3 linked regions of the Drosophila melanogaster genome follow. The gene in region 3 interacts genetically with the main gene of each other region. Each region holds a gene or a part of one and is shown on either strand. Other genes may lie near its edges. The genes, in order: O-fut1, Xbp1 and pcx.

Evidence for each region.
Region 1: of pcx (region 3) and O-fut1, changing one suppresses a phenotype caused by changing the other (phenotypic suppression), as found in Drosophila melanogaster (one study listed by BioGRID).
Region 2: of pcx (region 3) and Xbp1, changing one suppresses a phenotype caused by changing the other (phenotypic suppression), as found in Drosophila melanogaster (one study listed by BioGRID).

What each region holds. Positions count from the first base shown.
Region 1 is NT_033778.4:14,156,009-14,166,464, forward strand, and holds O-fut1 (O-fucosyltransferase 1), read left to right. Parts: upstream 1-5,421; 5' UTR 5,422-5,454; coding exon 5,455-5,572; intron 5,573-5,627; coding exon 5,628-6,718; 3' UTR 6,719-7,046; downstream 7,047-10,456. Other genes in the region: pea (peanuts), read left to right, coding at 1-421, 478-1,025; CG13018 (uncharacterized protein), read right to left, coding at 1,097-1,138, 1,199-1,396; CG13016 (uncharacterized protein), read left to right, coding at 1,859-2,128, 2,197-2,432, 2,487-3,048, 3,125-3,388; CysRS-m (Cysteinyl-tRNA synthetase, mitochondrial), read right to left, coding at 3,418-5,083, 5,143-5,153; eIF3m (eukaryotic translation initiation factor 3 subunit m), read right to left, coding at 7,190-8,128, 8,183-8,362, 8,479-8,523; CG8323 (uncharacterized protein), read left to right, coding at 9,270-9,517, 9,581-9,716, 10,135-10,456.
Region 2 is NT_033778.4:21,137,973-21,149,009, reverse strand, and holds Xbp1 (X box binding protein-1), read right to left. Parts: upstream 5,462-11,037; 5' UTR 5,134-5,461; coding exon 4,874-5,133; intron 4,810-4,873; coding exon 4,146-4,809; coding exon of another isoform or gene 3,550-4,145; 3' UTR 3,260-3,549; downstream 1-3,259. Other genes in the region: CG15657 (uncharacterized protein), read left to right, coding at 896-980, 1,040-1,296; Hmg-2 (high mobility group protein 2), read right to left, coding at 1,520-2,246, 2,306-2,709; CG9406 (uncharacterized protein), read right to left, coding at 5,813-5,911, 5,964-6,174, 6,227-6,464, 6,523-6,535; magi, read left to right, coding at 10,037-10,784.
Region 3 is NC_004354.4:2,222,628-2,233,785, forward strand, and holds the start of pcx (pecanex), read left to right. Parts: upstream 1-2,668; 5' UTR 2,669-3,083; coding exon 3,084-3,236; intron 3,237-3,278; coding exon 3,279-3,600; intron 3,601-3,654; coding exon 3,655-4,605; intron 4,606-4,694; coding exon 4,695-7,706; intron 7,707-7,762; coding exon 7,763-9,220; intron 9,221-9,370; coding exon 9,371-9,531; intron 9,532-9,592; coding exon 9,593-9,992; intron 9,993-10,052; coding exon 10,053-10,399; intron 10,400-10,455; coding exon 10,456-11,158. Other genes in the region: CG14052 (uncharacterized protein), read left to right, coding at 1,224-1,241, 1,311-1,378, 1,633-2,038. UniProt on the Drosophila melanogaster protein: Involved in neurogenesis.

The sequences.
Region 1 (10,456 bases), on a different chromosome or scaffold from region 3:
TACCGTCTCTATACGGAACGTGCGTATCGAGATGAAATGCTGCCCACGCCGGTGCCAGAAATCCAGCGAACCAATTTGGCCACAACAGTACTCCAACTAAAGACAATGGGAATTAACGATCTGCTGCACTTTGATTTCATGGACGCCCCGCCTGTGGAATCGCTGGTGATGGCGCTCGAGCAACTACATTCCCTATCAGCATTGGATGACGAAGGCCTGCTTACTCGACTGGGCAGACGCATGGCGGAGTTTCCCCTCGAGCCGAATCTATCCAAGATGCTTATAATGTCCGTCGCTCTGCAGTGTTCCGATGAGATTTTGACTATTGTTTCGATGCTCAGTGTGCAGAACGTGTTTTACAGGCCAAAGGACAAGCAGGCACTGGCGGATCAGAAAAAGGCCAAATTCAATCAAGCGGAAGGTAAGTCAATCCTTATCATATTAATGAAACATTTCCTAACGATCGTTTCTGCACAGGTGACCATCTGACGCTGCTGGCCGTTTACAACAGTTGGAAGAACAACAAATTCTCAAATGCCTGGTGCTACGAAAACTTCGTACAGATACGAACTCTAAAACGCAGCCAGGATGTGAGGAAGCAGCTGCTGGGAATCATGGACAGGCACAAATTGGATGTCGTATCCGCTGGAAAAAACTCTGTGCGCATTCAGAAGGCAATCTGCTCCGGATTCTTCCGCAATGCAGCAAAAAAGGATCCGCAGGAGGGATATCGTACCCTGGTCGACTCCCAGGTCGTTTACATTCATCCGTCGAGTGCTCTCTTCAATCGCCAGCCAGAGTGGGTCATCTATCACGAGCTGGTGCAGACCACCAAGGAGTATATGCGTGAAGTAACAACGATCGATCCCAAATGGTTGGTGGAATTTGCTCCGTCCTTCTTCCGCTTCTCGGACCCCACGAAGCTAAGCAAATTCAAGAAGAATCAGCGCCTGGAGCCACTGTACAATAAGTACGAGGAGCCCAATGCCTGGCGTATCTCACGCGTTCGTCGACGTCGCAATTAATGGACTAAGCCCGTTTATGTCTGTAATTTTTTGTATTTTAAGCGCTTAAAAATATAATTTAAGTTTAAAACTCAGTAGCCCTTGCGACCTCGAAAGCGCTGTCGGTTGTCCAACTGAAAGATGGGTGGGTATATGTTTAGCTTAGGAATAATGGATATTTTATAGAGACCCACCAGGGAGCGCTTGCACTCGTAGAAGGTATTGCGGAGCACCTGGCACTCAGCTGGAACGTTGTTGTCCTGGAGGCACTGGCGCGGCGTTTTGCCCATTTTGCAGCAGTCGCTCTCCAGGAGGCACATCTTGAGATCCGCACGTACTCCCGCGCACGCTGTCTCATCGGCCAGCCTCTCGTTGCCCTCGTAGCGCATCATTTTCGTATGTATACAGCGATATATTAATTTATATTTTTGATTATTTTGTGGACCAGTTATAAAACCACTGGACAGCTGATAAACAAACAGCCGGTTTAATGTTGATTAACGTTCAAAGCGTAGTCAGCTGCCGTCATGGGTGTAGTGCTAAATCAGAAGGGGTTATGGCAGCTTTGTTTACTGTTTTATGAACACCGCCCACATATTAAACAATATGTTATATACACATTTATCTGAAAATTAATAAAATATATAAAATGAAGTATCTTTATTCCCCGTTTAATATGTTGAGGAGTCGCCCATTTTTTATGAACTCAAAACATTCTACGGTGCTCAACACTGCTTTTGAGCCAGAAAAAGTGCTGTAAATGATGCAAAGTTTGGTCCTCCAACCGCACAAAAACATTGTGGCTTGAATTTATTTAAATGTAGCTCCCGGTACAAGCAATTGAACCAATCGATATGACCTACGACGAGCGCAGTAGTGATGGCAGCAGCTCTAGCGAAACACATGATTCCTTCGCCCACCTGCTGGCAACCAAGCAGGGCCAATCCCAGACACCGGCCACAGCGATGCCCAAACACATTCCCTTCCCGGAGCACGCCACCACATCCGAGTGGCTCAGCGAACTCATCATGTGCGCCTTTACCATGGGTTCGGCCATCGTACAGTTCATCAACATCTATAGAACCAACTGGTGGCTGCCACAGGCGCACACCAGGCATATGGTGGTGGGTTTGCAGAGGTTTTCCATATGTATCAACAAGGACATTAATCCATAATCTATCTATGCACTCAGAACATCGAGCTGATCGATCCTTATCTTCGCTATCTACTGCTCATACTCAATACGCGGAGACTGATTTACTGCTTGCTGCTGGTGAAGATCAGGAAAAGAAACGAGAAGAGCCGGCATCTTATCCGACTGGGAATCAAGTACGGATTTGGAGGCCTTGTTCAGCTATCCTTGGGTTTCTGCGCCATGAAGCTATACCAGAAGCACACATACATACTCCTTCTCTTCTTATTCTATCCGTAAGAATGAAAAGTATTTTATATCCAAAGATATTCATATATTCTCTTTTATAGTGTGGTCATCTACCTGTTGATCTTCGGCTTCCAGCTTGAACCCTTCCTGCGCACACGATTCGAACTGCCGGGCGTGTATATCAACGACCTACCGGTCCATAGTTGCACCACCAATCCGGTTAACATAAGGGACGAAGTGGAAACACTCCGACATGACTTCAATAAGCGATTCAAGCAGCTTATCTTCACCTCCATGCTGAATGCTTACTACACTGGCCTGGTGCCCTGCTGTCTGGCCGTCAGTGTCCAATACAATGTACTCCGAGCAGCCCAGCACTGTATCATTGTGTGCCTGGGCGCTTTCAGTCTGTGTGCTGTTTTTCTATATCCTGCCAAGTATAGTGATACATTACATCGGGCTACTTTACATTTGGGCTGCTGGCAGCGCATTGACCGGGAGCCAGCGCCTTCGCAGCTAATAGTAGCCGCCAGTGCGCTCACCTGGTCGAAATACTCCTCCTACAACCACGGCACCGTGGTAAAGCACAACGGAGGCCTGTACAGAAGTCATGGCATGGTTACTGTGGCCACTCCGGGAAACGCCAGTCACGCTCGATTTTATGTGAGTATCTTACAAGTGGGGTATTAAATCATAAGTTCAACGTTATCATTAAAAAGTTTATTCATAATTTTTGCAGAAACTATTTCACAATCCCACCATAATTTATTCCACATTGGCCATCCTTCAGGCTGCCGTGCTACTAGTAGAAATAGGGTCTCTAAGCGCAGAAAGCGTCGAGTGGCACTTTGTCCTCTCCATCAGCTTCGTCGCCTTCACCAGCATGGGAGCCTTCTTCAAGCTGGTGCGAGACTACCTCATCACTAAAGATCTTTACAAGGCGGAGCACGCCGTAGCGCCCGATCAACCCTTCCGACAACGCATGAGAGATGCATTTATGTAGTAACCATCCAAAGAATAATATATTAACTTTTATTCGGCAGAGCTTTTGCTTTTATCATCTTGCTTTTCACAGGACACGGCAAACACCCAGGAGCTGCCCTGTTTGTGGTCGCGGACCTGAATGCCGTGCTGTTGTAACAAGCTCCTCAGTTCATCACAGGCGGCTAAAAGCTGCGGGTTCTTAACATTTCCGGAGGTGGCCCTTTCCCGCATTCTTCCCCGAACGTTTATCACATCATTCACAAGCAAATTGGGATCAATGCTATGATCCGTAAAGGAAACCTTTTCTTGCAACGATTCTTTATCCTGCAACTCTGATAGACCAAACGTGACTATGGCACGGTTTATGAAGTTTCCAGCTGCCAACAGCAGATCAATGCAGTAGGCGGGCTCCTCCTGTGCGTCCACTTGCTGCTCATTTATGCAGCGACTTATGCTGCTCATCTGATCGATTAGCACGCTGATGGCTCTGGCGGTATCGAAATCATCTCGAAGGCAATTATCGAATTCGGTTACTGTATGAGTCAGTTGGGCCTTTAACGCTCCCTCGTCTAACAAGTGCACGGGCTTCAGGAATTGGGTATAGGCACTTAGATCGGCCTGAAAGTTTCTAAACCGCTGCAGGGTCTGGCGAGCCGTCACCATCAACTGATCGCTATAAGGCATTGCATTGCGGTAATTGGACAGCAGGCAGGCCATTCGAAACTCATCGGCGGTGTACTTCTTCAGCAGCTCCGACACGGAGATCGTGTTGCCCAGAGACTTTGACATCTTCTCCCGATCTCCAACCATATGAAGTTGTCCGGTGTGCACCCAATAGTTTACCCACTGGTCAGTTTTATACCGTGCACAGCACTGCGCCTCCTCGTTTTCGTGGTGCGGAAAACGCAAGTCCAAGCCGCCAGCATGAATGTCCAACTGGCGGCCAAAGAATAAACCTGCAATGGCGCTGCATTCAATGTGCCAACCGGGGCGTCCCTCGCCACCCCAGGGTGCAGCCCACGTGGGCTCACTGCCACTTTTACGCGCCTTCCACAAGGCAAAATCGGCAGTGTTTCGTTTGATGGGGTCCAATTTGTCCTCGCTTAGGCCTAAGTTTTGAAGCTTTCCATAGTTCTTGCTTTTGGAGACATCAAAGTAAACAGAGTTATCCGGGGTAACGTAAGCCTGCTTTCCGTCTATCAGCTGCTGAATGAACTGAATAATGACAGGCATGGTGGTAGTCACATGACTGCGCACATCCGGCGCCTGAACATTGAGACGCAACATGTCCTGACGAAATTCCGCTTCATAAGCTCGCGCCATCTTCTGCCAGTCCAGTCCAGCGAGCTGGGCCCGCTTAATGATCTTGTCGTCAACATCCGTGATGTTCATGGCTGTCACCAGGTTGATTTTAAAATAATCGCGGAGAATGCGCTGCAGGATGTCTACCTTGACATAGGTGCTGGCATGACCTAGGTGCGCGGAGTCATAAACAGTGGGTCCGCAAGTGTACCATGTGACCATTTGGGGATTGCGTAGGATTAGGGGTACCTTCTGCCGCAAGCCGTGATTGTATATATTGATTCCTGTGTGCTGGCCAATTGGTTTTCTCCATTTAAACGGACTATCCTGTTTGGGAGCCTCCTCCGAAATGTTGCGCCGGCAAATGAGAGCTGGTCTCGTTCGACTGTTAAGAGCCCGGAGCCCCTCCTTGCTGTGGGAAACATTTGGGCTTAGAAATACAAAAAAGACACTATCCGCATAAATACTCACAGGCTATACATTGTTATATATTGTAAATTTTGTCTAAAGTCTAAATAAAATTATTTCTAAAGTTTCATGTAAGCAATAACATCTGATTAGAAAATAATAGGTTGCCAGATCTGAGCTTTTTAGCCCATAGTAAGAAAGTCTCACAATAAAATTAAAAAATAATTTCACAATATAATTTCATAAATTTTCAAATATATATTTATGTTTGCAATTATATTTATATCACATCATAAACAAAAGCATTCCAAACATTTTGTAATCTGGCAAAGAGACAGAGTTGCCACCTGGTCAAAGAAAATCGAAGCCGGCAGAATGCAGTGGCTCAAAATGAAGCTTCGCTTCGTAAACTTAATTTTACTATTAATAAGCTCAACATGTGCCCAATTGGGGGGCGATCCCAATGGCTACCTCACCTACTGTCCGTGTATGGGTAAGTTTCACTTGGAAGCAACCGAAAAACGACAACTAAACCGCGCTTTTCAAAGGACGCTTTGGCAACCAGGCCGACCACTTCCTGGGATCATTGGCCTTCGCCAAGGCGCTTAATCGCACCCTGATCCTGCCGCCGTGGGTGGAGTATCGTAGGGGTGAACTGCGATCCCGTCAGGTACCGTTCAACACATATTTTGAAGTGGAGCCCCTGAAGGAATACCATCGCGTCATCACCATGGCAGATTTCATGTGGCACCTGGCCGACGACATTTGGCCAGAATCGGAGCGAGTGTCATTTTGCTACAAGGAACGATATAGCCTTCAGCAGGAGAAGAACGATCCAGACAAGCCCAATTGCCACGCCAAGGATGGCAATCCTTTTGGTCCCTTTTGGGACACTTTTCACATAGACTTTGTGCGGTCAGAGTTCTATGCGCCACTTCATTTTGATGTGCATCATAGCAACGAGGCTGCCAAGTGGCAGACCAAATATCCTGCAGAATCATATCCCGTACTCGCGTTCACCGGAGCTCCGGCTAGTTTTCCTGTTCAGCTAGAGAACTGCAAGCTGCAGCGCTACTTGCAGTGGAGTCAACGGTATAGGGAAGCATCTAAGGATTTCATCCGAGAGCAGTTGCCTCGGGGTGCCTTTTTGGGCATTCATCTGCGCAACGGTATCGATTGGGTGAGAGCCTGTGAGCACGTCAAGGATAGCCAGCATCTGTTTGCCTCGCCGCAGTGCTTGGGCTATAAAAATGAACGTGGTGCACTCTACCCGGAGCTCTGCATGCCCTCCAAGGAGGCGATCATCCGCCAGCTAAAGAGAACCATTAAGAACGTGCGCCAAACTCAGCCGGACAACGAAATCAAATCAGTTTTCGTGGCGTCAGACTCCAATCACATGATTGGTGAACTAAACACGGCCCTTAGTCGCATGGGCATCAGTGTGCACAAGCTGCCGGAGGATGATCCTTACCTGGACTTGGCCATTCTCGGACAGTCGAACCACTTTATCGGCAACTGTATATCCTCTTACTCGGCATTCGAAAAAAGGGAACGAGATGTGCACGGTTTTCCATCGTACTTCTGGGGATTCCCCAAGGAAAAGGATCGTAAGCATACAAACGTGCACGAGGAGCTGTAATGGAGCAACAGGATTATCTACTTAAATACTCGAATAGGCTATTTTTCGGTTTTCTTTCCTAATACTAGACAGTTTTATTACATTGATTAAGCAATATTCTGGACTTCACTTCTTAAATGGTTAAGGTAAAAGTTTCAACTTACAAATTTAATGAATTTACTTTTGAATGTTACCAATATTTAGTGCTTTTAAAGAATATCAGTATATTTATGTTTTATTCTTTTAGCTTTAATTCTTAAAAAGGATTTTAATGAAACCCGTTAAATGCCTTCAAAAACACTACAACTTAATTGTAAGCTATTAAAGTATTCCTCGCATTTATGAAAACACTTGTTTGCTACCGATTTTACTTATAAATTTATTCAAGTTATCCAGCCCTCTCGCATTCTTGAAAATAATTTAGGTCGTCACTCCAGTGCCCCGAGGCCAGCATTTGTTCATCATCAGTGCAATTTTTTGGAAGTGGTGCGCCTAGTGTATCAGCTTCTGGGATCGAGCCAGATCCAGTTGCGCCGAGGAGACGCTCGTTAGACCCTCGCGCACTGTGCTGAGGTTCTCCTTCCATGCCTGCAGCAAATCGCGAAGCTGCTCCCATTGTGGTGCTCCAAAGGTTCGGTGCATTGTCGATGAGATGTGTACCTTTTGATTGGCCTGATCTAGTCGTGCGCGTACCAGCTTTGTTTTCAGCACCTCGATGACGAAGGGCTCCACCTCGTCTTCGTTGATCTGCAGCTCCTTGGTAAGCGTTTCGAATGTCATCTCCGGGCTGCTCTCGGCCAGCTGCATGAAGGTCAGCAGACGCATCTTCTTCATGTTCTGCTCATGGTTCAATCCTTGCGAGTTGACAAACTCCCTGTGATCCTCGTAGAACTGCACGTACGCTGGCAGCTTCTCGGACACGAAGATGGACAGCAGGTCGTGGATGAGGTCGCCTTCCAAAAAGCGCACAGGCTTCAGCGACAGCAGAGGATCCAGCAGGAATGTATTGGGGTCGGCCAAGGCAGTCACAATGCACTTCATGGCATCCTCACGGGCAACACAAGCATTGTCCGCCGTGTAGGTGCCCAGCAGCTCAATCATAACCTTGGAAGACAGCTCCAGGTTGGTGTCCTTGGTCACGTCGTGCAGCAGGCGGTACAGCTTCTGCATCTGTTCCGACGAAGGTGGGCAGTTGGCAAACTGGGATTTGAGCTGATCCACACCTGAGAAGACCTCCAGCACCTGTTCGCACTGCTTGGCCACCTGGACCAGGTGGTAGTACACATGGTAGCGTAAGGGAGAGGCGGTGTCCAGGTTGTTGAACAGACGCCACAACGACTGAAGGCACACCTTGCCCAATGGAAGATTGGGAGCCTTGGTCATCTTCTCGCAGTAGGCCAGGACAATGTTCTCACCGCGATCCAGGGGTATCTGAAATATTGAAGGTTATTTTTTGTTGCTAATATTGTATTCTGTATTACTCACCGTGATCATGATGGACACAATGCTGTTTAGAATTCCATCAATCTGCGAGGGCTCACCATCCTTAAAGCAAACGTCGCAGACGCCGATGATCTTGTGCAAATCATCCTCCACACCTTTATTGGACTTCTCCGATGAGATTTCGGCTCCCAGCTTCTTGAAATACTTGCGCAGCTCTTGCACCTTTTAATAAATTGCGAATAATATTAGTTTTGTTTTGCAGCAAGAGGAAGACATAACCTCAATTCGGGCAAGGCGCCGCCCGAATTCATGGCTAAAACAGGGCACTTTCACTCTACCTGCTCGTCCAGGGACAGGTCTATGAAAACCGGATGCGAAGTCATGGTTTTGTTAAATGTTATTCCACTTTTTTAAACAAATTCAGCTGAAAATAACACGCACACACGTCTTCGGCGCTTTGACAGCTCGAAAGGAAAGAGAGCGACCAGTGCTGCCGGCCTGGTCCGTTTCCCGCTAATAGCGATGCTCTCAAACAATTGACCGAATTAAATTAAGATGACGTTAACGTGGCCACTTAAAATATATAATATTCCTCTGAAATTCATTCAGTTCAATAAAATTAAAATAGTTATGGCTTTGCAAGTGTATTAATGCTGACATAAAAATCAATTTTATAAATGTTTTGACGGGACTCTAGCTAACAATAAATGTGGGCAAAAGTAGTGTTCCCGGATCTTCTGAAACATATAAGTCACTAAGTGACTTCTTAGCCGTACCGTTACTAACGTTCTAAAACCCGTTTCTCCTGAATTTTAAATTTACCATCCAGCAGTTATTTATTTTACATTTATCACTTTACAGTTAAGCAAAATGACACGATTTTTGTTAAATTGTTAATTTGGCGACAGTCTGGCAACTCCGCTGCTACTAAGTTATATTGCTCGCCAAATTTATATTATATTTGTATAACGGGCGAGAAGAGCAGGAGTAATGCCAGCTAATCGGGGCGGAGAATTATGAAATACACGACACACACGCAGCGTGCGGCTTCCTAGAGCCACAGAGATTCCGCAGCAGGCGGTACAACCGTTACTAGTCAACCACTATCCTCAGCAGAACTCGTGATTACATGGCTACATCGGATTTTGTTCTGGGCGGCCTGGCCTCCGTGGGGGCCACCTTCTTCACCAATCCCATCGAGGTGATCAAGACACGGATCCAGCTGCAGGGCGAGCTGGCGGCACGGGGTACCTATGTGGAGCCCTACAAGGGGATTGTCAATGCCTTCATTACGGTGGCCAAAAATGATGGCATTACGGGGCTCCAAAAGGGCCTCGCACCGGCCTTGTACTTCCAGTTCATCATCAATTCCTTCCGGTGGGGAATTATTTAGTAGCTATATTTTATAATTATTAATCATCTTGAATTTACATTCGCCAGGCTCAGCATTTATTCGGAGGCAATGGAGAGGCGGTGGATGCACAACCGGAAGGGTGAGGTGTCCTACGGAATGGGACTACTGTGGGGCGCCATCGGCGGCGTCGTGGGGTGCTACTTCTCCAGTCCATTTTTCCTGGTACGCCAATTGTGGGAATGCTGCGGGAGGTTACATAAACAAATACATAGTTTATCTAAATGAGCCGCGTGCTCATCAGCATTATGGACCTTCCACAGATAAGAGACTTTATTGGCAATTGTCCATCAGTATCTAAATACTACCATTTCAAGATATCCAGGGAGAAAGTATTATACTTCCAAATATTCCATATTTTTTGACTGTTTATGGTTGTTTGCATTGCTTATTACTTTATGACATAACGCATTTATTGTTAGCCTATTTATACCAAGACATTTTCAAGATCTAGAAACAGAAAAATATTCGCTAAATAACTTAATAAGTATTGTAAACATTAACATATTATCACAGTCAATTCTCTTATGTACAATGTCTATATTTCTATATTATTATTTATGGTCCTTTCTTTTGCATCCAGATCAAAACTCAGCTGCAATCACAAGCCGCCAAGCAAATCGCCGTTGGCTACCAACATGCCCATACTTCCATGACAGATGCCCTGCGTCAGATCTACTCCAGGAATGGAGTACGAGGACTGTGGAGAGGATCTGTGGCCGCATTGCCCAGGGCGGCTTTGGGATCAGGTGCCCAGATAGCCACCTTTGGTAAGACCAAAGCCCTGTTGGTCCAGTACGATCTGGTGACCCAGCCCACGTTGAACTCCTTCTCGGCTGGCTTGATAGCCGGATCCATTATGTCGGTGGCCATAACGCCGCCAGATGTAATCACCACGCGTCTGT
Region 2 (11,037 bases), on a different chromosome or scaffold from region 3:
TCAATCAAATCCAATTTCCTCAATTAATTCGGCATTCCAAACAGAAATTTCCTTACATAACTGACCGCCCGTTTCAATATTCTCAGATCATTTAAAGCACTGTTTTAAATCGGCTGCCCGCCACCACACCACACACCACATACACATTTAGTAAACTCCCTCTAACACGAAAAGTACATGATTACTTTAACAAGATGATTCGAGAACTCGAGAAACATTTGAGAGCGATAAGAACAGAACACAAATTTCTAAAAATAATAACAAAATGAAAATGGCGATTCGTATATTTTTTAATTCATGAAGAAAGCCAAGGAAGTACCCCCCAAAATCCTATGTAAAATGTTTTCTATTTTTTACCAAACGCTGTGACAGAGTTGGACCAACCGAAGTGATGGCCATGATCTTGGGGAGATGCCAGGAGTTTTGCACGACCTCTGCCTCTTGCCCAACGATTCAATGGAATATTTTTGAAGTCTGCGCCCTTGATTTATTATCTCATTAAATTATTTTTGTTATAAAACCTTAAATGTATGCTATAATTTAGAACCTATACTTTTTGAAAACAAACATCAAACGAAAAACGATTTTCTTTTAAGTTTTAATTTATTTTTGTTTAGTTCTGCTGTTCCTAAGAAACAAAAAATCGAAAACAACTAAGAGAAACGCTTTAGTTTATTTACGCGAAGTGAAACGTCGACTATTTTGTTTAATAATAAAGAAACCTTTCGCTGCGAGAAGCAAGTATAAATTCTATTTTGATTAATTTAGTTAATTTAGTTTTTCTTATTGTTTCATAGTCGTAGGAACCTTTGCTTCAGTTGTACTTTTTGACTTTTCCCAGTTGCCCGAATCGCTTTAGCAGTTCAGTTCCACCAGGAAATTCAACAAATCCAAAATGCTGATCTACTATATTTATAGTGTGCTTGAAGCCATTTCGTATGCGATCTACACAACAGTGGCCACCATTTCGAGCATTGAACGTAAGTGTATCGCTCACGACCATGTTCGCCTTACTCAATCGGCACGACCCGATCCACAGAGGCCCTAATCAACCTGATGATGTCCACATTTCTGTTTGTGCTTGGGATAGCGTGTCACCCGGTAATGGTGATTCCCCTGATGCTGGGAGGCTACTATATTCTACGCAACTGTTTGAATCGTCGGACCAAGGCGCCAAGGCTGCAGAGTTCCGTGGATGGCGATGCCGGACTGATCACGGCAGGACCACGTAAAGTGCCACGTTTTCCCTCTCATCGCAGCCTCGCTCTCGGCGTTGACGCTCCCAAGGACAACTAAAAATGAGGATATTCTTGGGTACATACGAGTAGTCTCCTAACTTACAGACGTTAACAAATACAAAAGTGGGCGCTCCCAAAACTTGGCTACATACAAATGCTGCGGATATTTTATTGTTATTCGGTTTTCTCTTTTGATATCCTTGGCATTGATAACTATTGTTCTATGACTATGACTATTGTTTATGGTGAAGTTATTAACGCTATGAATACTGTACTATGAATCACGGTTTTAGCAAGCTACTGGTGTCCACTTTACGCAGCGCCTCTCGTGCCTTAATCAAAGTGACGTTGCTTGGCTGAGTGACGAGCCCGGCTAAGTGCCGGATGTACTTGTCAATGTTGCCAACGCTGGGACCACTTGGCTCCAGTGGTGGCATCGAGATTCCGCCGAGAGCTGCGACCAGTTTCTGGCGCAAGGCGCGCAAATAGGTCTCCAGGCGTTGGTTCTCCTCCATGAGCTCAGTTACCTCGCCCATCACCTTGGCGTACCCGGCTTTCGTATTATCTACGTGCTGTTCCAGCACAGCGTTCTGCTGCTCCAGATCGGTCTTGGCCTTGCGCAGCGTCCTCAGCTCATTCTCCGTGCTGCGATTGTGTTCGATGAACTCGTTGGTGTAGATGGGTATCTCGCCGGGCTGCAGCGGTCGTGGTGCAGGTGTCGCAGGTGGCACGCTGCTGGGAGGGGGCTGTACTGGAGCCGCTGGCGGTGTGGGAGGCGGTGGTGTCTGGGCACGCTTCACCTTGGCCAGAGGCACATCATCCGGATCCTCGCTCTGCCGCTTAACCGGCTTTGCCTTGGTCTTCTTCGCCTTGCCCAAGGCTGATTCACCCTTCGGCGTCTTTTCCTTGGGCGAACCATCCAGTTTTGTGGCTTTCTTGGCTTTGGCCAACTCGTTGGCCACAATTTCGGGGTGTTCCTTGAGAAACATTTGCAACTGCTCCTGATATCTACGAAAATGGGAAGATATGTTTAGATTTTGTGGGTTGGAAACGAAGTGTGAGCTTACATGGCCTTGTCCTTGGCGGCTGCCTCGATGTAGGGCAACTTGCGCTCCTCGGGCAGCTGATGCCACTCCTCGCCGATGATCCTTGTGTGCTCCAGGGCAGTACGTTGTGGCTGCTCCCGTCGCAGTTCCTCGCGTCGATCGTTCATGAAGCGGACGTAGCCATTAAGTGGCATTTTTGGAGCACCGGCTACGTTGATCCGGCGCTGGGCCAGCTTCTTCAGTTCGGAGCCGATGTCGGAATCCGAGTGGCGACCCTTTGGATTCTTGGCTTTCTTCTTTCCCTTGGCCGGTTTGTCCTCGTCGAAATCTTCAATGGTCGCCGTATCCATGGATTGGGAGGCGATGGGCAGTGATACGGGTGATTCCGGAACCGCATCCGGTGTCTTGCTCGTTGGTTCCGTCATTTCTGTTTAACCGTACACTCTATTGCATTTAAAAATTGTTTATCTTTCTGCAAAATCACAGGTATGTGGTTCGTAAGCAAAAACTGGTTCAAGTCTATAAACAACTTTTTCGAACTAGTTCCGAAACAAATTCGCTTTTGCTGGCGCATTAGGGTGGCTCTATTTATATTCTTTAAAAAATATATTTTTCGAGCTTAGCAAAATCTTGTTTAAATCCTAGTTCAGTTTGGAGAAAAACAGAGCTGTATTTCGTCTTATTAATGAATAATATACTAATAAATAAGGTGCATATATTTCAGAGCATAGTTGTGGTTTTATTTCACCTATCCGCATTATCTGCAGTCAGTTCAACTCACTTTTTGTAATATATATATATTTGGTTAATAAAAACAAAATGACTCATATGCTTACACCTAAAACTGTCCCATCATCTACGCAGAAATTGCGTCATAAAAAAGTGGCGTGATGCTAGAGAAGTGGCGTGATTAACTATTTATCATACGCAGTTCAAAGTTCTGTTTCGCCTAGAGTAAACAAAAACAAAGAGCTTGTTGTTTGGTTTGGTTTATATTTTGAATATTTTTTAGTCAAATGTTTTTTTTTCAAATTCTTTGAGCACAATACATACATATAAGAGTAATCATAAGCCTATGTGGTTAGAGATTGTTAAATATAAATGGAAACCTACAGCTAAACTTAGCGCTCTAACTACAGTATCATATATAAAGCCTTCGATTATGAATTTATGTACAGCCTATCAACTAAAAAACTTAAACAAACGGCGGCCGGCCAAACTTAACAATAAAAGAGAGACAGAACGAAGTTTTCAGCTTGAAAAACTCAGATCAAACTGGGAAACAGCTCGTCAAAGTTGCTCTCCCAGGGGAAATCGTCCTCATCTGCGGGCAGAGTGAGAGCCACGGATGTGGGAGAGCCCAGTATGGACTCGTATCCATGGTCCGAGGTGGCCGAGTGTAGAGACAATGCGGGGGATTTGGCCAACGGGGAGATCGCCTTAACGCGCGGACGTAGGAATCGGTCGATCGGATCGAAGCTTTCCTCGTCGTCCGAATTGTCGACGGCGTTCATCACGTTGAGATAGACCTGTGACGGAGACGTCGCTGGCGGCGGACACTTCATGATCACGTCCGTTGAGTCGTCGCCAGCGCTGACGCCGTCACAGTAGATCTCCTCGACGGCCTCGTTCACCGGCACCGCATCCCCGTCCATCACGATGGTGATCGAGTTCGTCTTGGCATCATACGTGCCGTACACTGTGTCCGGAGTGGCCTGTAGTTGCGAGGCGGCCGCTGTCGCTGTGATTGTGGCTGTTCTCGAGGCTGGCGCTGCTGTGGTATGCTGTGGGTTTCCATTTATCTTCAACATCTGCACATTTAGGCTGACCTTGTGCTCGGTTTCCTGTTCCTGCTCAACATTCAGGCCATTAGCTCTATGCCCGTCGGATTCCAAGCGCTCTGCTGCGGGCCCCACCATTGGTCCAGGCAATCGCTCTGCGTTGCCTGCATCTTGGGCAGCAGCTGGGCTGCTCGCTCCAGCGCCTGTTTCCAGGTCTGCTGTGATATCTGCGAGCAGACTTTCGGCCAGCTCTTCGAGGCGCTTGACGTCGAACTCTTCGTCGACGCCAAGCATGTCTTGTAGAGTAGGCAGAGGGCCACAACTTTCCAGAGTGAGGCCAGGCTCTTGCTGCTCTTCAGCTGCTCCGCCAGCAGACGCGCTGACGACTGTGTGTCCACCTGTTGTATACCCTGCGGCAGAGGGTCAGCTTTGGATGCTGCAGATCCAAGGTTGGTGGACGCACAGCCCTCAGCGCCTGCGCTGGCGTTGGATTGGCTGATGCATCTGGTGTTGTGCTGCTGTTGCTGCTTCAGTTCGGCGAGTTCTTGGCGCAGCAGCTCCAGCTCCGAGTCCAGCTTGTGGTTCTTGGCCAGCAGTGACTCGTTGATGGCCTGCAGGCTATCGCACTTGTTCTGTAGTATTTCCGTTCTGTCTGTCAGCTCCTTGATCTCGTAGTCCATCTCCTCCATGCGTGCCTTCTTGCGGTCACGCGATGTCTGGGCGGCCACACGGTTCTTTAGCTTCCTGTTGTTCGATAATAACAGTTAAATAAGGCGCTCAAATTTGGTTAAAAGTTGGGTGGACTTACTTTCTTTGCACTTTCTCCTCCCAGGTTAGATGGTCCAGGCGACGCTTCTTGGCCTTGGGCTGGGATGCAGCCATGTTATCGTCATCCATGTTCGACGAGGATGCGTATCCCGAACTCGAGGGCGTGGGCGAGGCGGAGGGCGTGGCCGACACCTTCAGCAGAGCTGCCGTAAGGGGGGCGGGCCGCAATTTGGGCAGATTATTCGATGTGATTGCTGTCCGCGGCACGGTAATTAGCACTGTGTTTGCTGTGGGTGCCATGTTTAACTGGTTCGGGGCTAAATGATAAACTGCTGTGTGCTGTGTGCAATTGTGAAAAGCGACTTTCCACTTAGATTTGCATTGTAAGAGCGTATTTTAACTTTTGCTTGTTTTAGGTCGTCTCATGAACTTCGACTGCGCTTCTCGGACGCTCTGCTGGTTTGAATCTCTTCATCGCCGCCGACTCGGGCTTTTCTGGCTCCGTCTCACGCAATTTTCTCATCCACCTTTGCAATATCGACCGACCAGTTTTCCTTTCTGCTGACGTGTTCTTTTCCGAATGGCTGTGAAAAGCTGACGTGTTTTTCTAGAAGAGTTGGGGTAATGAGGGATGGAGCAGCACGTATCGGGCTATCGATTACAAATTCAGTTAATTTAGAGCAACGATGATTTGTAAAAGCGCTTAAATGTATTGTAAATTTTTTTTTATTGGATTTAATAAATATATTGTAACATTTCAGGCAATATCTTAAAACAAAAAATAGTTCCTTAAATTTTTCACACAATTCATTTTAATATCCAAACATAGAACAACGACTATGCCATCTCGAATTGCGCATGGCAGTGTGACCGTCTATATCTCAATGTGGAACAGTAAAAACGAGAAAGGAAATTATTTGTTATAAAATGTATAAATTTATTTTCCGCGTTATTTGCAATTGCTTGATTAAAGGGGCATCTAAAACAGTGGTTGTTGTGGTTTCTTGCCCTTTTCTTTTTCGGCTTGTGCTAGTTCCTCCTTGATAACCTCGGCAATTTCATAGATATCAGGCTTGTGCTGGAAATTTTAGATGAATCCAATCAAAAGTAGTTGGGAAATGCGATCTTACCCTGAGTTGATTTATGTAGAAGGTGTAGGGAATGTGTCCAGTAATGGGATCAATTGCCACAGGCCACATAGCATCCAATTCTTCAGCGGAGAAAGGTTCTCCTTCCTCCGCCATTAATTTGCCGAAGTACTCCTTGGTCAGATATTTTTTATTTTCTGGATCCAGGGTCTCAAAGGCCTCGAGAAGCTTTTCCGACGAGGCTGGTTCCATTCTGTGGACAAATATCGTTAGTTGCTAAACAAACCTAAAGTATATTGAATAACTGTCGATCCATCAGCAGTTTGGAAACGTGTTCCATGAACTTCACCAAATGGGCTTCGCCTGGATAGTCGACGGAATCGGTGGCTTTAATGACATCTTCGACCTCTTTTTCGGTGGGCGCGCAACCTAAAAATCGGAGCACGTTGCCGACATTGCGGGAATCAATATACTTATCGCCATGAGTATCAAATATGCAAAATGCTTCCGAAATCTTTTCCTCGAGTTCGTTGTTTAGGGTAACTACAAAAGGTTAGTGATATCAAGCGGAGGTGCGATGCTCATTTTATGTAATGCCTACCACCAACTTCCATCGCGGGTATATACTTTAGAATTTAATAAATAAACTGATAATTTTAAAATACGATTTATTTTTTCCTGATTTATATGTTTTCTGATTGAAGCATTATTAAAGGTTTGCTGTTTATATTTCGAATTTGAAAATAACGATCGGAAATCGATAATGGCGCCAAGCAAAGGGTATCGCCCCTGTGGTCATACTAGGTGTGGTGAATATCGACCGATAAGCATCAGTCGATAACTGCCTGCGAAGCAGTCGTGTTGAGCGTCGCGTTATTTTGTTTTCTGTTTTGTTTTTCGTTTCGTGTTTTTAATTTGTTTCCCATTAATTTGCAATTAAAGTTGAGACAATCGTTTAGCTAAAGATTTCATGTTACCCAAACAGTGAAGTTCGAGACTTTCCAGTGCCTTTTAAAGGACGAAATAGACTGCATTTGCTTGTTGTCGCTGAGCATTTGCATCTGTGTGCGTCGTTTGGCAGCAACAGGTTTTCCAACTCAACTCAACGCGCCACCTCAGTTTTCATTTGTTTTCGATATTCCGTGGAGTGCGGTTCGCGTTGCGGGAAAATCGAATTGCAATTGAATGCAGCGTTAAATGGAAAACGAGCAACTCGTTTCACATATCGTCGCAGGTGTGTAACGTCGTTCGGCGATTCCAACGGGTTTTCCAGGAGGTTTTTGGCCCACAACAAGTTCAAAAACTTGGCCATAATACCACAGTTAACAAGTGCCACTGCAACTCTCAGTTGTGTTGACAAGTGTATGTGCATGTGTGTTCAGAAATACGCGTTTTCAGAAAAAAAAAGAGAAACAACGAAAATCACCATAAAAATGGAAAGTGTTCGACACTTGGATGCTCAAAACTGATCATCGATCCCTCGCTTAACACTCGTTTTCGAGCCAAATAAATAAGCAAAACAACTCAAAACGGCAGCAGAAATAAACAAGGTGCGAATTTTGAAAGTGACTGAAAATGTTATTTATCTCCCCCATTGACATTTTTCCAATTTCTGCCCATGGCATTGACCACTTTGCTTCATTACCCGATAGAAAGTTTATCTCTGATCGATGGCAATTAGCGAGGCGTGCGTGAAAAGATAAATATTTGCAAATGTATCTGGCACTCGACTGTTGAAAGCTAGTTTCCATGATTGCTGATCAATTTGCATGAAAAAAAGATGATTTTGTTTACTTCGAGCATAACTTGCTAGTTTCTGAAGAACTGTTCATGCTTTTATCAATGCTTACTAGTACTAACAGTTAAGACTTTCTTTTGCTAATAATAGGTTATATCCTCATGCAATCAAATCCCAACTTAAATGTGCAAAAATAAGAAGATAACGTGCTGGCCTAACCACATTTGGATATGATTGCAACTCACTTCACAGTAAACCTCAGGCGCCCATAAACGCCGATGATGAATTTTCCCCGTGCAGTGAAATTGTGGCCTTAACTATTCGCTTTTCACTTGCTTTTCCATAGCCGCTCCCCTTGTTGATTGCCATTTGTTACTAGGCATTTTTTTTCTGGTCGTGCGCCGCCTGTTTGTCGAAAGTGGCCCGATCTTTTTTTTTCCTTTTCCTTTCCTTTCCTTCCTTGCCTTCAACCAACTTTGCTTGCCGCTCCTTTTGCGGCTTTTCTCTAATGGGAAATGCTCAAACGACAGGTGGCTGGGCACATACATTTGCGGTCTGCGAAGGATCTCGGTGTGGCAAGTGGAGCAACCACCATCGCTACCACCATCGCGGATCGTTCCTGTTACGTGTCCCTACACTCAAAGAAACGAGCAGTGGAATTGGTACTTTTAGAGCAATATCCCTATAATTATGGGACACAGAAAACAGACAATATCCAAATCCTTATCAAATCGTAATCCACAAAAGGGACTCTATACGTTTTCTTTTGTGTACTTGTGGGGGTTGCCTTTCGGTTTTCAGTTTTCGTTTTTCGGTTTTCAGTTCTTAGTTCAGTTTTCGGTTTTCTGGCGATCTGCTGGCATACTCTGAAAAACTTGTTTCTCTCCGCCGTTGTTTTGTTTGTCGTTTCTGGAATTCTTGGCTTGGCGGTGCCCGCAGCTCGCTGTGTGCCTCACGGAGTACTCCCCCTGCCCTGTGGCCACCTCCATGCCGCTTCCATCCACACAACGATCGTCGTTGTGCCTTTTTTCTCATTGGAGTAAATTTTTCGCTTGAGGAACTTTATGTTGCTGCCGTGTTTGATGCCCCTTTTTTCGCACAGTTAATTTTCTTATTCCTTACCCCGCGCTCATAATTGTGTGTGTGTCGTGAGTCAACGTTTTCATATTTGCAGCGGGGAAACTAGCTCTTTTATTTTGAAATACATATAAATGCATATTCAAAAGTAGCGAGAGTTGCAAACTTGCCTCAATCTGCTCTGAAAATATAATTTGTTTTAAAACTAGCTGGCTCAAATGTTTAACTGCACCAAATTAAACAAAGAAAGTTTGTTTTTTTTTTTATATATGGATCCAAGTAAACCGAGCTGGTTTTCTTAAGCGCACTTGAAGACTGCAAAAAATGGCTTTAAGTGGCGAAAATTTAAGATAAACCTCGCCATGAAATGCACACAAAAATAATTATAACTATGCGTCTGGCATGGGAAAGTCGAAGCAGCTCGCCGTTAAATTGCAATGTCAACAATGGAGGGGTTTTTTTTTCTGCGGCTATGGTTGCCATGGATACTGACTAGCCTAACTGAACAATCTACTGATTGGCCCCACTTGCAACTGCAGTCTGGACCAAGCCATCGAACAATGCGCTTGTCTGGCCGGGAGCTGTCTAACTGGATAGTTGGCTCTGGGACTTGGTTTGGAGGTTTGGAGGTGGAGAGCGAGCTGGTACCACCCAGCAATGTTGGATATTCAAAGTATGTGGCGATGATTTTCATGCCATGCAGTTTAAGTTGCGGGTATTAAGGAATTTCATAATAATAAAGTGTTGTAAATCTTCAAGCAAGAGTTCCCAATCTCTTGAGATTCCAGTTAATGGAACTCAGCTGTTTCTATTGGGTTGCTAAATATATTGCTTTAAAACACCAGTTTTAAATACATTTTAGCAAATATTAAAAGAGGTCGCACATATTTGCATCTTAAAATAAAAATGAGCATCATGCCAAATCGAACTGAAGCGTTCTTTATTGCTTTACGATTATTGTATGCATACACATGGTAATTGTTTATATTACTTTGCATACTGCTAATTAATGGTTTCTCTTTTGATTGTTCTGTTTTGCAGCTTCACGAACCGGAATGACAGCTCAATGACATAACAATTATTTAAACGGCAAAATGAAGAAGCGTTCAAAGTTTATCTAAAAACATTCACGCAGACAAGCGAAACAAAGCGAAATCGAGACAATCGACAAAAGTATTAAATAACGAAACTCAAATGCAATGGAGCCAAATAGCGCTAGTGCCTGAAAACAATTCAACTGTGTGAGAGATTGCGATCGCAGCTAAAGACAGCTAAAAACCAGGCAGTCAGCCGGCTTAAAATGCCAATAATCACGGCCACGACAACGTCGACAGCCGGCGGAGGAGCAGGTGTGGCGGCCAGGGGCGTGGCCACCGCCAAGTCTCCCACCGATTACCTAATGCTGCAGCAGCAACAGCAGCAGCAGCAGCAGCAACAGCAGCATTTCAACAGCAATCACTTCTATCAGCAACAACAGCCGCAACAGTTGGCGCCTCTGAATGCTTCCCACCAACACCAGCACTCCCATCCACATCCACATCCACATCCTGTTGCCGCCGCGACCAGTTTTGCAACATTTAACGGAAACTCGAATCTAAATTCTAGCCTTGCCAACGGAAGCAGCAGAAAATTCAATTGCAGTCGTGACAATGTGGACGATGGTGGCGATGCCGGCGAAATGGCAGCCGCTTCCCAGACACTGTCCTCGGCTGGCACAGATGTGGTTGGTAACGGGAGCGGGCATGGCAATGGAACTGTAACTGGGAACGGGGAGAAGTCTGGCGGTTTAGCGCCACCAGGTGGCCACCATCTACGTCCGCCACCGCCGCCGGCACTTAAGAAATCCGCCTCAGCAGTGATTGGAAATTCAGCTTCACGCGAGGATGTTGCCTCGTTGAGTGGCACCTCCTCGCTAAACAGCCAGATGTCGGTGCATAATCAGTTCATCTCCGGATTGCCAAGCAATGGCATTGGCAGCAACGGAGTGCACGGAGGAGCAGCCACCGGACGAGGCGGTCCACCCAACAGCATTCTCAAGGGTAGCAAAGGTAAGGCAAATTCCTCAAGAAATCATATTTAAATAAACTTTAATTTGAGCAAGAATTTCTAATCTAAGTGCAATCTGAATCTGAGGTAATGAAAAGTGAATTGTATTCATTATAAATGAATGCCATAAAGTGTTTTTACTTAATTATAATTAATACGGTCTAAATAAGTAAAATACATTAAGCATGTTAAAACAAATTTAACCGTCGCATGATGCTATCAATTATGTAGATGGCTTGTTTGTGTGGTTTGCCG
Region 3 (11,158 bases):
CTCGCTCGCTCGCTTTTTCTGTTTCCCCCTTTCTTAGCCGCTGCTTCTTCTTGCCGCTGGGACTCTGGCCGATGACAGCCAGTGATATCGATAGGCTCCGCATTCTATGAGTGATCGTATTTGAAATTGAATAGCGAACAAGTTCGGGATTCGCAATTAAATAACACCCGCAAATCTGGCAAATCGCCTGTACGATTGCATAATAGAAATATGCTCCATGTGCATGCGATCTATTTGTAACGTATTTCTCTATTTCTCGCGTTACGTGCCATGTACTCAAGTTAGCCGGGGAGTCGGGCGGGGGCTTAATAAATAAATCCAGGGGCTGAGCGACCATGCAACATATCTTTGTGAGTATTAAACACACGCTGCACTCCTGCTATTTACGTTGACTGAGTTTGGGTCTTCGGTGTGGGGCTCCGGCTCCTAGCTATTGAGTGCAGTTTTCCGTGCCTTCCGTCTGCGTGAGCTGCTGAAAAAAGGCATAGCTTTAGAAGAAGTTCACACACAGCCGAAACAAAACGGAAAAACAAAGAAAATAAACAATGGTAAAAACCCATCAATGGGGACGGAGCTCTCATGCCCTGCAAATTGGGGGAAAACCGAAGTCAGGGGTTACATTAATTCGGTGAATTGGGCAACCAATAAAGGTGGCTTTAGAAGATCCGAGCTTTTTATCTGATAGGTAATTGCAAAGTCTAGGTCTAATGTAACGCAAAAATTAGTAGCTAATACAGGTGCAAACTCCATACTTTCGTTGTGGGCTTTTATATACATAATATACACGCGTGATTTCTTCTTATTTTTAACAGTGCAAATTCCACAATTTGGGGCTAGCCTCCGTCTCGGTAGAGAGTAGTCCTCCTCTGGCTGAAAACCACCCACAATCCATGACACGATGATCGCTGCCATCCGAAATGAATGGAAATTGCAGGTTTTTCACTGAGCAGCCAACTCCGCTGTTTCGCGGCGCGTGCGCAGAAGCTCCACCAAGTGTGGCTCCACCAAAGCAGAGCGAGGCCCATGGCTCTGCCCATATCGTTGGTGGTGGACTGCGTCACGGAAGCGCAGAAGCCGCCAACTGGCGTCGGGGTATTCGTATTCCACCGCATTCCGTGTGCCTGCGCCTGTATAAATAAAATGGTCGCAGTGGGGCAGCAATCAAAGCAGCCGCTTCGTCGGAGCCTTCAACACCTCAGCACCTGGGTCTCAAGCCAAGCGATATGGATAACCGCAGTTTGGTGAGTGGCGACCGGGTATTGCAACTACACAAGGATTACACCCGATATCCGTGCTCCCTCTATTCGCAGCTCCTGAGGCTCTCAATTGTGGTGGCGCTGGTGTTGCTTCTCGTCTGCGTGCCGGAAACGGATGCGGGGTATGGATTATCATGGGGACTACTGGGCCAGATAGAGGATACATCGCGGCACAGGCCCCTTAACTTAAAGCGTCATTCAGATTAACGAACATTTTACAACTTCAAATCATAGAAAGCCAATCACTCTCGCTAAATAATTTCAAACGAACTTAGCTAAAATATTTAACTTAAGCTATATTAATAATCTTCCAAACGAAAAGTGTATGGAATCAAATAATTTATTAGGTTAAAAATGTATTTGCTATCCTTTTCAGGGGCCACCAGAAAAAAAAGAAAATCGTGATCCACGTGCCCATTCACAAGAAAATCGAAACGCACATACACACCGTGGTGAAACACGTGCACCACCACCACAAGCCACTCGTCCTAAAGGAGGAGAAGAAGGTGATCCACGAGGACCACCGACCCATCCAGATTCACCAGACCAAGGAACACATTCACCACCACGAGAAGCACGATCACCATGATCACCACGACCACCACGACCATCATGACCACCACGAGCACCACCACCCACTTCCGCCTCCGGTGGCGCCTCCAGCGCTGCCGGAACTCGAAGAGGAGGAGGAGCACATCCACCACCACCACAACTATGAGCACAGGGGCGGACTGCGAGACGACTTCATTGGCGGTGACGGGAGCAGCAGTGAGGAGCGCTGACTATGCAGCGCCCATGTGGGGGCGCAGACTGACCGGATGCGGCAGACGTGGACCGATCGATCGGATCATCCCGGATTCTTGTGATTCCCTAGATACGTACGCACTCTTTTTGTTTTTTTTTTTTTTCTAGCCTAATGGAAATGTGAACGGAAATAAAGTTAAATCGGAGGAAGGACTTAGTTTTAGAGAAGTGTTAAGGGCAACCAAAGACAAGGTTATTCATATTAGTTTTTTAGCCTTGCCATTATTTACTAAGTTAGGCTCTACGTAATGTTAGTAACGGGGTTTGGTAGTTTTAGCCCTTAAAACATTTATTTCTTTTGAATAAAATTGTACATTCATGGATATATAATTTACTATTAATAAATATGTTTTATATTACACTCAATTAATCGCTGTTAAAACGTATAAAAAGTTTACGAAAATTGAAGGTAATTTCATAAGAAATTATTAAGTTAACAAATTTAATTAATGGTAATGTAAAAAAGTGTGTAAAAGAAAGAAAATTTTAAATTTAAATACCAGACTGCAGTGTTACCATTTTTCCTAGTAATATCGAAGTGCGATAGGGCCCGATAGGTTCGGGCCAATAATCGATGACAGGACAGGCTCTAAACAAAAGAAAAAAATTAAAATTACAGCAGGATTGCGAGCGATATTCGTTTTATCCCATTGCAGCATCATTGAGATCCCGGAAAACAAACAACGGCGTAACGCCAGTCCGGAGTTGGAGTGTTTCCAGAGGAGCCGCAGCATTGTCTCCTGTCCCACAGCTTTCCCTCAAAAAAACCAGCGACTCTGCCTTTGCCTTCCCCTCCGCCCCCGTTCACCACCCACGCTACCACCGCCTCCCAAGGCCTCGCCCGCAGACCACGCCCCCCGCCTGCAGCTTGGCAGGCTTACTCAGCAAATAAACAAACGGAAGAGTGACGAAGTGCAGCGGCAGCAGAAGCAGCAACTCCTACTGTGAGTAATCCGGAAGCTGGAGCAGCAAAAGCGTGGATCCTCATCCATTCGGCGGCTAAGCGATGCAGTATAGGCCACCATGGGTTCACAGACCTTGGAGATTCTGCGCCAGGGCGTGTGGGCCTCGCTGACCGGCGGTTACTTTTACGATCCGCATCAGGGTGTCTTCTGCAACGTGGTGCACCTTTACCTGTGGCTCTACCTGCTCTGCTCGCCCTTCGTGGCCTACCTGGTAAGTAGTGACCGAGTGTAGTCCTAAGTAGTCCGTTCATAGATCTTCTTGCAGTACTTTCCGAGCACTTGGTTGACATGGTGCCTGTATTGCGTGATAACGAGCTTAACCATACTGATGGTAAAGCTGGCCAATCTGGCGCTGCACAGGCTCTACGATCGCGCACAGACCATGTCCGAGGGGAACCTAAAGGGGCAGTTCGTGAAGGTCACCAAGGAAACGGAACCGCGCCACGACGACGAGGGCGGCATCGAGATGAAGGTCATCCGACCGGGCGGCTCACGCATTTCCGGCGAGCAGGCCATTAATGAAGCAAGCGAGGAGAACAGCATCATGTCCATCGACAACGTGAACAGCATTATTGGTGAGTGGTGCTTCTTGTGCACACGTGCTATAGCCTAAGAACTCCTCTTCGCAGATCTCAAGGTCGATGTGCATCGCAAGAACAGCTCGGAGTCCATTGAACTGATGTTCTACGCCCCATCCATGCTATCCGGCGGTAGCCAACAGGATCAACAATCGCTGGCTGGTTCCGCCAGCGTTAGCAAGTCCATTCGGAGTACAGGACCGGGCGGAAACTCGTCCACCAGCGCCGCCGCTCAAGCAGACATGTTCAACAAGTACCTCACTGTCTATCCGGAGGTTGTCGAGGCGGCTGGAAGCAGTGCGGGTAGCGCAGATGGAGGAAGTAGTGGTGGCGACAGTAGATCAGGCGCAGCAGTGAGTACACTGGGACATACAGGAGCGGGAACAGCACCAGCCCAGCACGTACGCACTGGACATCTGTCGCGCAAGTGTTCTGAGGTGTTTAGCCGCCGCCATCGACGACGTCTCGAACGGCAGAGCAGCTTGGACACAGCGGCGGCAGCTGCAAACTCCAACGCGGAAAACAAGTTGATGCGCAATCAGTCGGATACGATAGCCACAGCGGCACCCTCGTTCCTGCACTCTCAGCCAACGAACAAGGCGCGCGGTCAGACCAATCCGCGTCAGCACTTTATAACCAGCGCCCCATCAACAGGAATAGGCGGAGGAGATGCTCCCACTTCATCTACCGCCGTCGTTGTCATTGCCCCCGCCTCGAACTCATTGGTTAATCCTGGACGTTCCTCACGTCTGCAGCGCCACAGAAGTTCGGAGACGCATGACGAGCGGCTGAAGCACCAGAGCCGTGGTGGACTCTTCCAGCCCATTCTTCAACTTCCGCACCACAGTGCAGCCAGCAGCATCGGCGCACTGGCAGTGCTCGGTGGAGGAGGCAATGTTGCCGCAAATGATGTGGAAGACATGGAACTGGGCCTGGTTAGGAATGCGGGCAGCGGCGGAGTGGCGGATGCTTGTAGCCGGGCACTACAGTCCTGGATATTAGGTAAGCTGATACAATATCAGAACTCTTCATTGTCGTAGTTTAGAAATCTCAATAAATTAGTTTTAATATGTACTATGTTGCCCATTTAGATCCCTTTCCGGATGGGTACCTGGAGGACGATAGCTACACCAAATCTGATCTGGGCATTGAACAGCCACACCAGCCAACTTTCCGCACCCAGCATCGTCATCACCATCACCACCACCACCTGCATCATCACCTAGGAGGTGCAATCATTCGTAAGGATCCAACCAGCACAATGTCTGCACTTCAATTGGCTGCAGTCACCCAGCCAGGAACGGGAGGATCGGTAACAGGCGGTGGTGGAGCAGCAGGTGGAGGTGGATCTGCTGCTGGTATGAAGCGACGCAGACATTCCAACGCTACGAGCTACAAGCACGGCTCGAGCCAGAGCAACAAATCGTCTCTGGTGGGCGGCGGAGGTTCCAGGGGTCCGTCTGGAGAAGCAGGCACTTCCGGAGGGGCCGGAGGAACTGGTGGAGTGAGGCGCATTAAGAGCGCAGCCCTGGAGGTTCTGTGCCCGCAGCCCTCTGTATCCAATCTTAGTCCACACCCCAACAGCGTGGAGGCCATCTCGGGTCAACAACAGATGCGGAACCCTCTACCACCTCCTAGCAAAAGTCTGGTGCGAAACCAGCACCTTAACCTTTATCCTACGCAAGGCTATGGCGACGGAACTCCCTCCGCTGGAGGAGGAGGGCCTGGTAACAGCAGCACATGCAGCAGTCTCTTTTTCGGCAGCTCCAGCGCCTGCGGTTCCACAACAGCATTGATTGAACCTCCAGTATACCCCATAGTGGAGCACTCTGACGAGAAGACGGCGCACGAAGAACACGGTGATGATTGCTTGGGAATAGGACAAGGCAACGCCGACGATGACGATGAGGTGGACGACGTCCCGATCCGAAGAAGAACGCGGGCGTTAGGCTGCAGCCAAACGCACTACAGTGTTGAATCGGATGTAGGTGGCTTCTTGGCAGACGAAGTCGGTGCTGACGAGGATGTGTTTAAAGATTTCGACGACAACCTTGAGCACATTCTTAGTGAGCTGCAGCAGACGCATAATCAGCTGGATGACGTCCTAAAGACCCACGATCTCCATCACCACTCGCATTTGCACCATCATAAAGCAGCATCAGTGGAGGGCGCTGGGCCGTCGGGAGGATCCGTGGCAGTAGGGGTAAGTGCCGGAAATGATGACGAAGACGAGGAAACGGAGGATAATAACACGGGGTCGAGATCTCCATTGCTCAACGATCGCAATCGCCAGCCGGCAACACTGCGAGAGATTCAAGCTGACAAGCAACTCCGTCAGGAGCTATCACACCAGTCCGGGGCAGTAATTCCTGCCCCTAATCCTCCCGTCCCCATACGCAGCGAGGCGGACTCAGGCTGCCCTTCAAGTGATTGCGAGCAAGTGAGCGCCAGCTCCAAGGACCAACTCCTGTCGGGAATAGAGTTGGAGCTGCAGCAGTATCAGATCCTGCAAAGGTGTCAACTAGACGAAGAGCAACCATGCACCTCGAAAATGGCTGCCAAAAGCCTGGGAGCCATTCCAAAAGTGGTAAAGTACCGAGAAGTGGATGAACTAAGAAGAAGACGCAGAGGAGGCTCCCCGGCAGATGCGGCTGAGGCTGGAAACGAGTTTGCCCTAGTCAAACAGACCAAGCAGGCCTCGCGGAATTCCTCCTCCTCGAATTCGACGCACAGCATCAGCTTGACCGATAGCCTGACGGCTGACATTCACAAGATGCTCTGGCTGATGCACGGCGGAGCCGTCGATGACCGGGGCCGTCCAATCACCGGCACCTCGGCGGACGGCACTCCAATCCCGGCAAGCAGCAGCCTGGTCCCGCCGAACATGTCCAACGCACACTTCCAGTTCTACCAGGATGCTATTCAAGCGCTTCAGGGCACCCATCCCACTTCCGGTTCCAGTGTGGAACACATGACCAACATTGAGTTGGCTAGGGATAAGTTGCGCCTGGATGCCAAATTGATGTGCGAGCAGCTGGTTGCGGCGGCGGAGGCCAACTCAGGAGTCCGAGGAAACACACTCGCAACTCAGCAAATGACGCAGCAGCAGGTGGGCATGTTAATGCGCGGAGGCTCTAGCTCCCGGCACCCATCCAGTGCTCCGTTCTCGGTCCAAGGATTAATCAATGTGATCCGAAGTGAGCGCCCGGCAGCGCGCAGTCAATTGGACGCCTTGCAGCAACTAAGTGATGCAGCAGCAGCATTGGCCGCTAATGCCAGTGAGGCTGCCTCCGTTTCAGCCTCCGGTGCAGGAGGAGGAGCATCGAGTGGCGGGGGAGGAGTTTTAAGCGCCCTAGGACTGGCGAATCACCCCAGCAACCAGATCAGCCAAATCAGTCAGCTCAGTCAGATGAGCCAACCCATGCTGAATGTGGACGGGCATTTTGCACCCTACTGCGACTACTGGAGACCCGCGTGCCTTCTATCCGCGACAGAAAAGCCAGCGGCTCCAAAGAGTTTCTACAAGTACCGATTCAAGTGGTGCGGCCAAGAGCATGAGTTCAAGATTGCCATGGACCGGCTAGAGCTTCTTGCCCTGTTCGACCGTGATCTCCACTGGATGCACGTCCTTCTGGCCAGTCTGCTGTGCACCCTGGTAGCCTGCTTGGGAGCGGCGATCTTGCAGCACGATCACTACAAGGATCTATGTGCCCTGCTCTTCTGCGCAGTGATCGCGGGAGCTCAGTACTCGCTAGTAAAAAGTGTGCAACCGGACGCAGCTTCGCCAGTGCACGGATTCAACAAGACAGTCGCCTACTCGCGGGCTATATACTTCTGCCTTGCCGGGGGCATGCTGTTGCTACTAAAGCGCCTAGATACGGACTACGGGGAACGGACACCGGACCCTGTGGTATTCTTTGGCATGCGCTACTCTCCTGCTGATGTGGTTGCCCTCCTTCTGCAGGCGCTCTACATCTTGCTGCTGTGCTTCCCCATCATATTCTCGGTGGGATTGTGTCCCCAGATAAACACGTTTCTTATGTACCTGCTCGAGCAGATCGACATGCATGTCTTTGGCGGAAATGCTGCTAGCAGTCTTCTAGGTGAGAACTCTTTAATCCCTATTTTGCTTCTTAGACTAATTCCTAATACTGTACAGGTTCCTTTTTGTGCGTCGTCCGGTCGGTGCTAGCTGTAATGCTGCTTTACGGACCTCTGTACGGAGCATTGGACGAGCAGCGCGGGACGCAGTACATTCTGTTCTCCATCTTCTGCGCTATGCTGGTACCCCTGGGCTACCATCTGTCTCGATGTGCCAGCGACTTCAGCCACCTGTGGCGGCTGATCAAGACGTGCATTGTGAGCACGTATCGGGACGATGAGGATGAAGATCTCAGCCAGATGCAACATATAGCAACCGGAACAGTTACTGGATCAGGGACTGCCAATAGCACTGCCCTTCAATTGACCACCAGTACTCCAAAGCAGCACAGGCAAACAGACGTAAAAACGGAACATGAGCAGATCGAGCTGAGTTCGCTAGAAAAGCTAACAGTCAACGAAGAACATCACGAGAAAGATCACGGAGCAGATGATCAACTAGAGACGGATCAAGATCTGCCTCTGCAACAAAAGCACAGCAAATCAAAAACTTCGTCCTTGGGCAGCAGTCAGCAAACCCTGGGTAAGACGATCAGCAGTAGCAAGAGGGCCATAACCGCCTCCAGTTCGTGTACCTCCATTGGAACGGGAGAACCAGCGGTGGAAGCTGGAGCTTTGACCGAGGAGGCGGTGGAAGGCGAGGAGCAACGTAGGAATACACTGGCTGGCGAGGTGGGGAGCAAGCACGAATTAGCGGAGAACTATGACCAAGCCGCCAAAATTGATGAGTGTGAAGACAAGATCTCCAGCTCATCTGCCACAAACCCCGGGGACATGTCTACGTTGACAGCGGGGGCGGGCACAGCCACCACTGATGCCACACCCGCTTGCCTGGAGGCAGATCCTGACGCCGAAGCTGAGGCACCTGCTGACGAAAAGCAACATCAGGGGATTCTGGGAACGGGAACTGGAACTGGAACTGGAACTACCGAAGCCAGTGAAAATGGCAGCGGTGGCGGCGCTAACGGAAATACCAATAGCAATGGGACTGGCAACGACCTTCCCGATCCACTACCACGAAAGCTGCAGGCTACAGTAACAACTCGGCTGAAGAACGACTTGGTGGTGATGACCCTGCTGGCGGTCAGTGTACTGGGGTTGCACTGTAGCACTGTATTCACCGCCCTGCAGCCGGATCTCAACGTGGTTCTCTACTCGTTCATCGGCGTACTTGGACTTCTCCTGCACTACATAGTGCCGCAGATGAGAAAGCATATGCCCTGGCTTTGTTTCTCCCGTCCGTTGCTCCGGCAGCGTGAGTTCGGCCAGTTTGAGGTGCTCAACGCCCCCAAGATCATGTGGTTCGAAAAGCTCTACATTTACCTCAGTGTCCTGGAGCGGAATGTGCTCTTTCCCCTGCTGGCCATTTCCTCTCTAACGGCGGACTCGCAGTTGATTGTGGCTAAGTTTGGATTGCCCTGGGGCACGCTCATCGTGGCGATCTGCGCCCTAAAGTGTGAGTCATCCGATCATAGAAATCGATCATTTGAAATCGTTATTAAATGTATATTAATATATCTAAAGACTGAACGGCAAACCCTATATGCAGATCTTCCATCTCCCTCACTTTTAAGCTAATCCCAATCCATCTATCTCTTTTTATCAGTTGTAAGGAACGCTTACTCGGATCCGACCAACCAGTACCTGATAATAATTTTTACGGTTCTGCTATTCCGCATCGACTTTGCCATGGCCACAGAGACATTCATTATAGATTATTTCTTTGTGTCGCTGGCCTTTCGCAAGTGCTGTGACTTCCTGCTTAAGGTGAGAACTTGGCCTGGCCATTATACTATTCTAATAAATGCTAATGCATGTTCTTTCTTAGCTGCAATTTATTGTGACGTACATCGCTCCGTGGCAAATTACTTGGGGATCGGCCTTCCACGCCTTCGCCCAGCCATTTAGTGTACCGCACTCGGCAATGCTGTTCCTGCAGGCGGCCATCTCCGCAGTGCTCTCCACTCCCCTCAATCCGTTTTTGGGCAGCGCCATCTTTCTCACTTCGTATGTGCGTCCTATTAAGTTCTGGGAGCGGGACTACAACACGCGCCGGATAGACCACTCCAATACAAGGCTAAGCTCCCAGCTCGAGCGGGACTTGGGTGCGGACGATAACAACCTCAACAGCATCTTCTACGAGCACTTAACCCGCTCTCTGCAGCACTCCCTGTGCGGCGATCTCCTGATGGGTCGCTGGGGAAATGTCAACCAAGGAGACTGCTTTGGTAACAACATAATTTTATACCTTTCCTACAAAGAGGCTGAGACCCTGTTTATCCTTTCAGTTCTTGCCTCAGACGATCTTAACTGTTTGGTTCACATCATTGAGCTAGGCAATGGCTTATGCACGTTTCAAATGCGCGGCTTGGAGTTCCGCGGCACCTATTGCCAGCAACGCGAGGTGGAGGCCATCACCGAGGACGTAGAGGACAACGACGGATGCTGTTGCTGCGATCCAGGCCACCTGCCCCAATTGCTCAGCGCCAACGCCATGTTCTCCACCCGCTGGCTGGCCTGGCAGGTGGTCGCAGCCCAGTATGTCATCGAGGGCTACTCAATATCAGACAACTTAGCCAGCGCCACGCTACAGGTGTTTGAATATCGCAAGGTGCTCATAACCTACTACATTAAGGTGAGCCCTCTGGATTTGCTCGTAATAACTTTTGCTAATCAAAAACCATTTTATAGAGCATCATCTACTATGTTGTAAAGAATCCCAAGCTTGAGCAGTGGCTTGCCTCCGGTCCCATACAAGATGCCCTCCAGCATACTCTAAGCCGACAGTTCGTTGACCTAGATCCCATTTTTAATTTCAATTTAGACGAGGACTTTGATTTTCGGGCAGTAGGCATCACGCGTTCCAGTTTTTGCTACGTGTACCTCAAATGGATCAATTACTGTGTGGATATGCGCCGAGATGCCAACTCTATGGGAGGCGCACCACCTGCCCAAGCACCAGCAGCTGCTGGAGGAGCTTCGTCCGCTCCGGCAACAGCGGGTGTTGCTCCACCAGCGCCGGTTACGCCCGCCCACAATGACTCCAAGAGCACTCCCAATCTCTCGGCGCACGGTGGACAGGCTGGTCCGTCTTCAGGTCAATCCAAGTCACAGTCACAGCAGCAGCTGCGCCGTCCACAAAAGAGTGTTGCCCAGGAAACCAGCGTAGGCGGAGGAGGTGTAGTTGTCGGAGGGACTACTGTCCCTGGCACAGGAGGAGTGACCGGTGGTGGTGGAGATCCGCAGCTGAGCAGCTCCCATAGCTTTGCCAATATCTCCCGGCAAACATCGGAGAGTGCTCCCGGACTGGGTGGCTACGTAGCGTATATGGATCAAAATGTTTTCGTGAAGCTGGCTAAGAGTAGCACCACCACAGGAGCAGGAGCCGGAGCAC